Arabidopsis thaliana: one gene and its partner. The protein of the gene in region 2 interacts with the protein of the main gene of each other region in a pairwise test. Each region holds a gene or a part of one and is shown on either strand. Other genes may lie near its edges.

Region 1 (5,323 bases), on a different chromosome or scaffold from region 2:
CTGATGATGCTAGTTTTAGATATGCTGTCTGATGATATCAACATTTTAGGCGAGAACGGGACAATTGATGGTCAAGGAACTGTATGGTGGGATTGGTTTAGAAATGGAGAGCTTAACTATACAAGACCTCATCTTGTTGAGCTCATGAACTCTACTGGTCTGATCATCTCCAACCTCACATTCTTGAATTCACCGTTTTGGAACATTCATCCTGTTTATTGCAGGTCATAATAACTTAATCATGATTTGATTTTGATATCCACCAAATTTCTCTCTTCAATGTTCTGATATGGAGTTTTTGTCTGAACAGAGATGTTGTTGTAAAGAATCTCACAATTTTGGCTCCTCTTGAATCTCCAAATACAGATGGAGTTGATCCAGGTGAGTTTCCTTGCAAATTTTACTCGTAGATTCAAGATATGTACCTTATTATTATCTTTGGAAATTGTTCTGTTTGCAGATTCATCAACTAATGTTTGCATAGAGGATTGTTACATAGTTACCGGGGATGATTTGGTATCGATAAAAAGCGGATGGGATGAGTATGGAATATCCTACGCAAGACCGAGCTCCAAGATCAAGATTAATCGGTTAACAGGTCAAACTACTTCAAGCTCAGGAATAGCAATAGGAAGTGAAATGTCGGGAGGTGTATCCGAAATATACATTAAAGACTTACATTTGTTCAATTCGAATACTGGAATCAGAATCAAGACTTCTGCTGGAAGAGGCGGGTATGTTAGAAACGTTCACATCTTGAACGTGAAGCTCGATAATGTAAAGAAAGCGATTAGGTTCACCGGTAAGTACGGTGAACATCCTGATGAGAAATACGATCCCAAAGCACTCCCAGCTATAGAGAAAATCACCTTTGAGAATGTAAATGGCGATGGAATAGGTGTTGCGGGTCTTCTTGAAGGTATAGAAGGAGATGTGTTTAAGAATATATGTTTCCTTAATGTTACTCTTAGAGTGAAGAAGAATTCGAAGAAATCACCATGGGAATGCTCGAATGTGAGAGGTTATTCACAGTGGGTTTCGCCGGAAATTACTTGTGATTCTTTGAAAGAGAGTATATTCCCGGAACATGGATCTGATTGTTTCGGGTTATCGGAAAATAATATGGAGATATCAAGTGGTTTAAGTAGATCACCATGGTTACTTTCTTGGTAAGTTACTGTGAAGTTTTGAACATCAAAGGGGAAACACAGTTTGCTTGATTCTGAAGAAACCTCTTCGATTTTGAAAAATGATGCTTTCTTTCATCTTTTGTTGTTTTCGTGTAAATTTGTGTGCAGTGAGGAAAATAATCAGAGTGGCTTAAGAGTTTTTGTTTTTGTTTTCCTTGTATGGGCTTTAATGCTTTTGGTGAGCGGAACAATTGTAATATCTCCGACAGAGTCTGTTGAAATTTTTTGACAATTATTTTTCAATTTCAGATTCCATAACTAGAACAACTATATTTCACTGTTTATTCCGGTAAAATAGTTGAATTGAGAAGTAAATGATAGTATGAAAATATGAAATAGATCTTGATTTGGTTAAACTAGTAACTCAACTGAAACTTTGTGAAAACTAGAATACGAATATGAACCTAATTCAGCAGTGTTCCAAAACAATTCATATTTCTAGTATTATCTAATCTATGTCTAAAACCATAAAAATAACTACTAAACCAAAAAGGATCTGCATTAGCTACAGCTTTTTTTCTTGAAAAAAATAGCTTCATTACAAGTTACAACCGATTTTTTTATAAATGTAATAAAACTAGAAACAAAATTTGAATAAAATCTCGAACAAGTGATTTACATTCAGACAAAACTAACTTTTTCCCCCACCACCACTGACTGTATTGGTCAATCCTAGATTCTTCCAAGTTTGCTTTTAGAAAATCAGTAGTGATAAGCTCTTGAGATCTTTAGTCTTCTCACGCTAGACAAGAACATCCTACATAATCAATTAAGTCCCCATTAATTAAAGGGAATTTTTACATAATTATGTCAAAAAAAATACTTAACTAGAGATTTTTAATACACTAAAATTAAAAAAGAACTTACTCCCAAGGAACATCTCCAACCATCATCCAGTCACCTTCTTTGTCTGCGTACGTTAGCACGTGACTCTTCTCACTACACATATCTTCTTCTTCAGCCCCTATTTTCACAATTTTTTTATTGCCATTAGTTTTGGTCTTAACTATATACATGCAAAGAGAGGTATAACAAATATAAATATTAACTAAGTCTACATGCAAAGATGTAATTAAGTGTGTGTAGATACTTACAAAGGATTGAAGCATTGAACATGTAGTCGAGAGTTGTGATCAAATCATGATATCCATTAAGAGATAAAAGATCGATCTTTCTCCCAATAGGAACTCCTTCCATGTTCACTTTCACGTAGAAGCTTCCGACACTATTACACTCGTTTTGCTCTTCTTCTTCCATGATCATCATTTCCTCTGCCGCACCGACTCCATCATATTCATGGTTATCTCCACCGTTGTAATATTGTCCGGAAGATGATCCGAAGCTGAGCCCGAGTCTCAGGTCCGTGCTTAGGTTCCGAGTATTACTCGAAGACACACCAAATGGGTTGCTTTTGCAGCTGCTCTCTATCGATGAAGACGATGAGCTTCTCCCTCTTCCCATTTTTTTTTATTTCTTTTACTATTTCTCTCTCTCTATGATTTTATCTAAAACAGGTGATTAATGATTTGAACGTGTGTGTATTATATATAGAGAATGGAAATTTTTATTTAATTGTTAGAGCTTAAAAGGAAGAAGTAATAATATTGGAATGGTCTTTCTGATATGTTTTTTTTTTAATTAAAGAAAATGGTGGAATGATGAGACAGTGTTGTTAAAGATGTTGTCCATGTAGCAGACAAATACACGTGTCATGCAGACACTTGGTCAAAGTGTTGGTTTTGACTTTGTGCTCGGATTTTTTTGCTGGGTGTGTTCTAATTAAATTTTGTTTGTTTCAATGTAAATATACTCGACTCCTAGTACTACCTTTCGTTTAACAAAAAAAAAAAGAAAAAAGATTGTTTGATTTCTTATAAAATAATTAGGGTTGGATTTTAGAATTAACTGAATTATTTTGTTAAAACACTATAAATGAATAAGAAACTGTGACTGATTTAGTTTAAAAAGTTTAGGCTTAGATTTAAGGAATCATATGAACGTAGACAAGATAGTTCTAAACCGGATAAGAACATGTTTTCTTAAATAAATGTAGACCAATGTACAATACATAGTTTACTTCATTATCCGTCTTAGTAAAATCAAGTTCAATGCATGAGACTATCGTGACGCGCATTGATGCATTCGTGGGTTCGACAAACAACACTTCCATAATTAAGGTTTTTTTTATAACCGCGAGACACTTTAAGCAAAAAAAATGTTTTTGTTTTAGCATTAAAGTATGTCAAAATGTTTTTTAAATTGAATATCAACTGCTAAACACGTCTCATGTACGTCATTAACTCTCTAATAATGTTCTTTAATTATGACAAAAAATATTGAAAATAGTCTACGTGGACTCCATTGTATCTAAGCATGACAAGAGTTTGAGCTTTCCATGATTTTAATCCACGTCGCTGTTAGTAATTACACTCCTCTACTAATTTGATTGTTCCTTTTAATTTATCTTATCATGAAGCATCTATAGTCAAGTCCAACCACTACTATATTTTTCCAATACTAAACCAATTTACCAACCTTTTATGTGTAGCAATCAAAGTGAATCAAGTGGTGCTAATCTCCCACAAATCTTAATCAGAATTTCTGTATCTTTTCATGGCAGAGACCAAAACACATCATATTGGTGATCTTAGTCTTATCCGTCGTTAGTATTCAAAATAGTGACTTTAATAAATGCTTCTCTTTGGTTGGCACACCAAGATTCTATTTGTGTAATATTCATTGGATTTAGATAGAAACATGTATGTGGTATAGTCAATTCGGTTGATATATTAAACTTTGGTCACCAGAAAAAAGTGCATGCTTCTTGGTTTTGTACGTTACATGTAATAAATTAGAAGCGAAGAAACAAATAGAGGGGAATATAGAAAAAGAAAGAAAATGAGAGAAGGGAAGCATGAGTAATGAATGCGTAACCTTAAAGAGAGGAGCTAATGAGAGATGCTTCGCCTATGGACTAAGGACTGAGGATACGTCACAATTCTCACACTCCAAAACATACATATAGTTTTGCAAGCACGAGACAGTAAACACTATCGACAACATTTCACGTTCCCCACGTCACGTGCCTTTTTCCACGTGTCTCCTCACTTTGTCGCCTCCACTTCCACTCTTCTACAATCACTCCTTAAGCTTCTTCATGACCTACCAATCAATATGATTAGAACTCTTTGTTCTCTCTTTTATAATTGGAAGATTTTGTCCAAAGTTATTTTTACAATCAAATCATATTCCATTCCGTCTTTTAGTTTATATGTACAACGTAACTTGTTTCTTATTTTTAATTAATGGTTTTAGAACTTAAAGTTTTACGGATTACAAATAGTATTCTTAAGTATTAAAGTGTTTTTCATATTATATATAGTTTTTTAAAATAATTTGAAACGATCCTGAATCTCTTATCAAGTGTCTTTATCATTGAGCCAAAAACATATATAGTATACACATTCATACAAATCTTTTGAACCCGAAACATCCAAACAATGTCGTTATCACAATAACCGACATGTATTGCGTAGATATCGTTTGGTTTGAAGAAACAAATAGATACTATTAGAAAGAAGAAGAGAAAAAGATTTAGCTTGAACCAAAAGAAACTCCAAACATGATTTTTGAGAGAGAAAAAAAAAAAGGGAAACTGATAAAGAAGAGATATGTTCCCCACCACCCCTACCATTATCATCACAATTTCCTCACTTTTTTTTCTTTCTTCTTCAAACTTTTTTCTCCACACCATTCTTTGTCCCCTTTGTTTTTTTTTTTTGTATCTTGTACTCGTCTTTTGTTTCTAGATAACCAATATGTTATTACATGTATTTGGTCAAGTATTTTCTTTGAATAACGTATAAAATTCTGGAAAGCGAACATAGATAGTAAAAACAAGAAAAAAATAGAGTCAATTCTAAGTAAATTAAATCCTATTTGTGAAAGTATAAAAACAATACTAAAAGAAAATTGGAGAATTGAGATTTCACCATATGTACATAGAAATGAAATTCAAAAGAAAAACAGTGATTCTCAGATTTTCAAGGCACTCATAGTTTTTTAGTTTCAAGATTTAATGATAATGTCTCGTCCTTTTACAAATCATTAAGTTGTAAGAGAGTTTTGCTTCT
Region 2 (6,439 bases):
TGAACCATCGCATTCTTATTTACGAGTTATCCATCGTATCATCAGTTCACATACGGAATACATTCATGTATCATGGAGAAACTAGGCTACCTTATCCCAAGACTCGTCATGGGGTAATATATGAACTCTTTTAAATCTAAATATCAACCTTCAAAAGGTCTAATTAATATTTTTGGTTCGATCTTTGTTCATACAGAGTGTTAGTCCAAGTGCTTTGCAGTTACAGCACATTACCACTATATGCCCTTGTTACACAAGTAAGTGACACATATATATTCACATGTTTACACCAATTCACAACAAATTTGAATCAATTGTTGTTGTTGTTTTGCTCGGTTTTTAAAAGATGGGTAGCAAATTCAAGAAAGGGATATTCGACAATGTAGTACAGTCCACACTGGAAGGATGGTTAGAAGATACGAGGAACAGAGGCGAATCCACGAGCGAGGCTCATAGGATAGAGATGCAACCTACAACTCCTGAATCTTATAATGTCCAAAGTGAAAACCCTTAATTAAGTTGCAATTTGTGTCGTAATCCAATAAGGCTATCCCTTTATTATTTCACATTTAGAGCTCTCATCAGAGGATTGTGTGCATCTATGACATTGACGCCAACGTTCCTTTCTACTTTTGAGGCTACTAGATTAAGTTGACTTGTTACTTTTTATAAGAAAGCTTCGATGATACATGGATTGATATATAATTAAAAAGCTTCTATGTTATTTACTTTCACAACGTTTAAATTTTCAATGATGTTATCGGATGTAGCTTAATTTTTCAGAGTGGCAAATTTAAATTTTTATATAAGTACCTTTTTTTGTTGATAAGATAAATTTATCCCATCTTCTAAAGAGAAGAACTTTAGAATTGCTTTTAAATAAGATAAATTTTATATTTTAACAATAACAAATTACTCGAACTCATTGTCATTTTTCAATTTAATACTTAAAACGATTTGTAGACGTTATAGAATTTCTAAAAAGGTCGTTAACTTTGTAAGGGAGAAAAATACTAAATAACATTGCATTTGAACGTTTTCTTTTACTAATCTCTAAAATAAAATAAAAAATATGGAATGCTTTTTTTTTTTTTTGACTAAGTGAATGACTTTTTAAATTCTATTAATGGATATGTTGTAAAATACTCTTTTTGTATCACTTTAAGTGATGTTTAAAGGTTTTATACACAAATTAAGAAAACACATAATTTGTGTATCACTTTAATCCTACCTCTTTTACATATAATACAATTAAACAAATTTTAACTAATTAGATAACATACTCTAAAATATGATTGGTCTAAAAAATTTTAAAACATCTTTTTAAAAAAAGTCTCTAAAACATCACTTAAAAGTGATATTGAAGAGTTATAACGCAATGATGCATGAATAGCTGATTTTCTTGGTAACAAAATTTTGTAGTAAAGCTTTAAATTTTTTACTAAATGTTGAAGTACTTTACACTTGAATTTATAGCCGTTAACATAATCATAAACATTGTCAACTTTGTTGGAAAAAACACACTTAAAAGGATAACGACATTGCATCTGAGGTTTTTCACTAATGCTGAAATAAATACTTATTAGAGCTACTTATTATTTGATCGACAACTTTTCTAGTTTCTATAAACGTGTGTTAAGTTGATTTGACTATGTAATCTACAAATAGTTCTTTTTTTTTTTGTTTAACGAAATTTGAATTGCAATTTTTTCCAATTACCAGCATAGCATTATGGTCAGTTGAATCTAAATTAACTGATAATTTCCCTAAAAACTCAAATAGTTCTGCAAGTAAGAAAAGAATCAGAGATTTGACAAAAATAGTGCACTAAATATATATTATCCTAGAAATAAATAAACAGAAAAGGACATTCACATGATTCAACTTCCATCAAGATCCACAACGTTCCTCTCTCGTCTTTATCTCCCCTCCCTCTATTTCCTCCAATCAAAAAGAAAGATAAAGCAAAAGCTTTTCAAAAAGAAAAGAATAAAAAAGTGCAGTGCGGGCCCACTCTGTCGTTGACTAATCTGGATAGTGGTCACACACAGACAGTTCCCCTCAAACTCGAGAAACTAAAGAGTTTTGTCATGATTCATCGTCGTCGTCTCGAGAACCAAAGCATGGTTGTGGTCTCCTTCGTACGTCACGATTAGCATCATCGCATCATCTAGTGCACGCTCCACATGCTTACGCGCCGGACAACCTCTTACACTGCTGCACTTGTAATATCCCCTGTCATAACCATTACACCGAGTCCTCCCCAGTTAGTTCGAGTTCTTATTAATTAATGAGAAAAGAAATAGTCAACTTAACTCTCGGCTTTCTATTTCAAATTTATTCTATAGGAAACAACAAGTCAAAAAGAGCGTGAAACTGAACCCACTACTGTACTACTAGACAACATGTTTGGTACAACCGATATAGAAAAAAACAATATTGACAATCTCTCTGGTACTAATATTGACAATACACAAGTTGCTTAATTTTCTAGCCAATATTTGATTTTTGGTGTTGAATCTAGTGAGTGATTGTGATGTATGTGTAGAGTATATATATCGATGGTAAAAAATGTAAAAAATAATTACCGAGGATGAGGAGAGCCTTTGATTGGTTTTTGACCATATTTTCTCCATGAAAACTCATCTGATGGTATATCAGCCATTTTGCTACTTACTGCTGGAACTCTAATCACTCTTTTTACTCTTGATTTCCTGATTTTTTTACACAAATTATAATTAACGTTTTATTAATCAAATCTCAAGATTTAGATCTAAAATAAGATTAATTTTTAATAATAGAAGTTGAATCAAAACCTTTTCTTGGAGCAATGGCAACGGCTTGAGGGAGATGAATTACATCTTCTCTTCAACGAAGCTGATGATAAAGGAGGTTTACCTCTCGAACCAGAGAGCTGAGATGGGTTAGTGAACTCGAATCCTGATGACATGTGAGTACTATCGGTGTCACATCTATGAGAAGACATGAATGAGTTCGTCGCTGAGACTGGTGGTGACGGCGCAAAGTTTATCGTTGACGGTGCTCCGTTTGCGAGCATCGGAGGAGATGAAGAAGACGAACCGTTCTTTGTTTGATTCTGATTGTTGTTGTTATTGTGTGATAGAGGAGGACGACGATGAATTGGTGTTGGACAATAAACTCTAAACGCAGATCCACCACCGTGATATTGCTCTGTTTTCTGTTTTGTTAACACGGAGCTTGTTTCTGGCTTCTTCTCCTCCACCTCCACCTCCTCCTCAACCACCGGCGTTTGCTTAAACGGCGTTTGCGTTGACGCGGGAGCTCGTCTGAATCTAGCGTGTCCGGTTCTAGATCTACCGAGTAGAGAAATGACCTTCTTGAAGCTGTTAACGGCGACGTCAGTCACCGCGGTTATCTCCGTCTGACTCTTCTCCGTTGGTTGTTGACTTTGACCGATCAGTTTAAGAAACTCCTCCACACCGTGAATCCCTGCAGAAGCAGCTTCTCTCAAAGCGGTATCTTCCATTTTCGCCGCCGCGGCGATTGCAGGAAAACCATCACCTCCTCCTCCGCCGCCGCTGTAGCTGCTCATCATCAGCTCAACAGTCATCTCATCAAATCAGAGACCAACCACTCAGATTCTTATTAAAGGTCAAAGGAGATGTAAATAAATACAAAGATTCAACAGTTTTCTTGTAAGTTGTGTTTTTGGTTAAAGAAGAAGATGATGATGATGATGAGGGGAAGAATAAATGAAGAGAGTGAAAAAGGGGGAGAGTCAACGATATGCGTTTCTCTCTCTATATCTTTAGGTATGTGTTGATAGTGCATCAGTCAAATCGACCACCACTCATAGGCTTACACGTGTGATCATTTGTCAAGCGTTTTGACACTCCTCAGCGTCAATGATTTTAAATTTGGAGCAAGTGGAGCTCGAATTATATATATATTCGTTATTATTATTCGAGAAAAATCTAAGATATTTTATATTTTTGAGGCTGATTAGATGCTAAAAATATAAAAATTAAATTTTTAATTAAAGAAAGATCTAAAAGGAGGAAGGTCTCTCTCTTCTCTCTATAGTATTTTTCAGAGAAAGATTTTTCCGATGTAAGTTTAGAATCGCCGTCCGGGTTTCTTCCGGTTTCCGTTATCTGGATTTTTTCCGGCTATTATCTCCCGTTGATCGGGATTTAGATTTCTTTTTGGGCAATTTTGAATTCGGTTTCTTCGGATTTGTTTTTGTTTTGTAGCTTTAAAATCTTGATGATGAAACATTATGACAGGCAGAATCTTCAGTTCCGAAGAGGTGTTCTCTTCGCATGATTTAGTTTCTTTCTGCTTTGATTGGCTTCACCGTTGGGTTCTGTTTTTTTTGGCTCCAACAGTTTTCCGGCGATGTGTGCGTTCTCGACAATTAGGTTCGTTTGGATCTACTGTGTTTAAGACAGTTTCAATTTCTCCACGACTAAGGTTAGGTCAAAGCTCGTTTCCTATGCAATTAAGATATGCCTTTGTTGTTCTTGCAAGAGATTTAATTGTTAGACAAGTTTGAACTACTCAGTTTTCTCTAATTTCTTTTACCCATTTTTGCCGAATCCTTTGTGATTCTTGCAATCGGATGAGATTAGGAGATTGATGTTTGTTCTGTAACTTTTAATTGGTGATAAAAAAGAAGTCTCGTTGACCGGTGATTTTCCAACGACGTTTCTGATTCACCAGGCTTGAGTCTCATGTGCAGTGGAGGTTAGGCCTGGGCACGAAGCGAATATCCGGAAAATTTGGGATATTTGTTATTCGATTCGTTTTAATCGAATACTTAATTTTATTATTTGCTTTGATCCGAAAATTTCCAAATATCCGAAAATACGAATATCCGGATTTTTGTATGATATTTGTCGGATATCCGCTTTGCTTTGCTACATCCAAATATTTTTTTATATAAATTATTTAACATAGATTTCAAATTTCTTACCTTATGACTTACGAGTGTGAGATTGAGAGCAACTGAAAATTTTCTGGTTATAAATTCTGTAACCAAATTGAGTGATAAAAATAGTGAAAGGTCGAAGAAAGGAAACAGAAATGTCGCTCTTATATTTGATGGATTGGAAAGTAAAACGACAATTTTAGGATAAAATATAAAAAATAAAACAATTTTATTTTAAAAAATTCCACTTCTCTAATAAAAACTGTGTCACAAAAAAAACACAGGCCCAAAGGATACAAATACAAGCCCAAATCCCAACATATACAAATGCACAACCTATATTGTGATATATATATATATATATATATATAGATCGAAGCGAATATCCGACTTTAGAAAAAATAGTATTTGTTATTTGCTTCGGTTTTTACGATTACTACATTTTTCTATTTGCTTTGCTCCAAAATCTTACGAATATTCGGATTTTTCGAATCAAATCAAATCGAATATTGAGTTAAAGCGGATCGAACGAATATTTTGTCCAGGACTAGTGAAGGTTGTGGACGTTCCACGTGTCCCTAGCTTATTATTATTGGTCTGACACGTCTATAGCTTATCTCTTCTTTTGTGTCGTATGAGCCTTTATATGTGGGATGTCTTGGGCTTTATTTTGGTTTTCTCATAACCAAGCATTGTACTGGTAATGATAAAATGAATAAAATATTACACTTATGAGAAAAAAAAAAAAAAAAAGATGCTAAAAATATTACATATTTATGCAGAATATAGAATAAATCACACATACTGATTTAATAAATGCTCTATCAACTCTGATATATAAGGAGATTTTGAAAAGAAAAAAACAAAGAGGAGACTTTTGTTGTGCGACAGTGATTTTAGTAATTTTGGCAAAGTTAAGTTTGCCTTTCTTTGTTTGGTAAAGTCGTTAGGGAAAGAAACAAAAACTTTTTATTAGTGAAAACCTCGTTAGACTGATTTTTAAGTTTCTTCGTGAAGTGTGTTGTTACCCATTTATCAAGTTTTTTTTAACCGTAGTTGAGCAAATAAGGACGAGTGTCATGATTGTGGTTCCGTCACAAACTTATCGACTGGGTTTGGCCATGTAGGTGAATAGGTAGGAAGACATGGGCCTTAGTCTTATCATATTATGCATTAACATAGGCCCATGTTTTGTTTGTAAAGGCCCAAATAAACTATGAACTGTCCTTGCATATTACCTCAAAAACCTTTAATCTCTCTTTTGGTCTTGTTTTCTATTTCCATTTCTATACCATTCAAAACTATAACTTAATTTCAGCATCATTAAAGCTTGGAATGGGAGTAATTTTCAATGAGCTGGTTTTTGTTATTTCAAAAAAACTCACTAAACATCCAATCAAAATTAAGGAAATTAGTTTTCATAAAAGTGTGTTTTTTAAAAGCCAGATTTTTATCATACGAAAATCCAAAAAAAAAAAAAAAAAAAAAATTAAAAAAACTCTTCCAATCATTATTTTAGTTTGTAAA

What was found. The genes of interacting proteins can lie anywhere in the genome.
Region 1: the proteins of WRKY7 (region 2) and IAA30 interact in binary tests that used the Arabidopsis thaliana proteins (3 or more experiments, as listed by UniProt).

What each region holds. Positions count from the first base shown.
Region 1 is NC_003074.8:22,993,163-22,998,485, reverse strand, and holds IAA30 (indole-3-acetic acid inducible 30), read right to left. Parts: upstream 2,801-5,323; 5' UTR 2,652-2,800; coding exon 2,285-2,651; intron 2,155-2,284; coding exon 2,058-2,154; coding exon of another isoform or gene 2,054-2,057; exon of another isoform or gene 1,948-2,053; coding exon 1,893-1,947; 3' UTR 1,677-1,892; downstream 1-1,676. Other genes in the region: AT3G62110 (Pectin lyase-like superfamily protein), read left to right, coding at 50-224, 311-381, 461-1,173. UniProt on the Arabidopsis thaliana protein: Aux/IAA proteins are short-lived transcriptional factors that function as repressors of early auxin response genes at low auxin concentrations.
Region 2 is NC_003075.7:12,569,083-12,575,521, reverse strand, and holds WRKY7 (WRKY DNA-binding protein 7), read right to left. Parts: upstream 3,985-6,439; 5' UTR 3,593-3,984; coding exon 2,817-3,592; intron 2,715-2,816; coding exon 2,589-2,714; coding exon of another isoform or gene 2,585-2,588; exon of another isoform or gene 2,236-2,584; coding exon 2,076-2,235; 3' UTR 1,749-2,075; downstream 1-1,748. Other genes in the region: MLO13 (Seven transmembrane MLO family protein), read left to right, coding at 46-113, 197-257, 347-514. UniProt on the Arabidopsis thaliana protein: Transcription factor. Interacts specifically with the W box (5'-(T)TGAC[CT]-3'), a frequently occurring elicitor-responsive cis-acting element.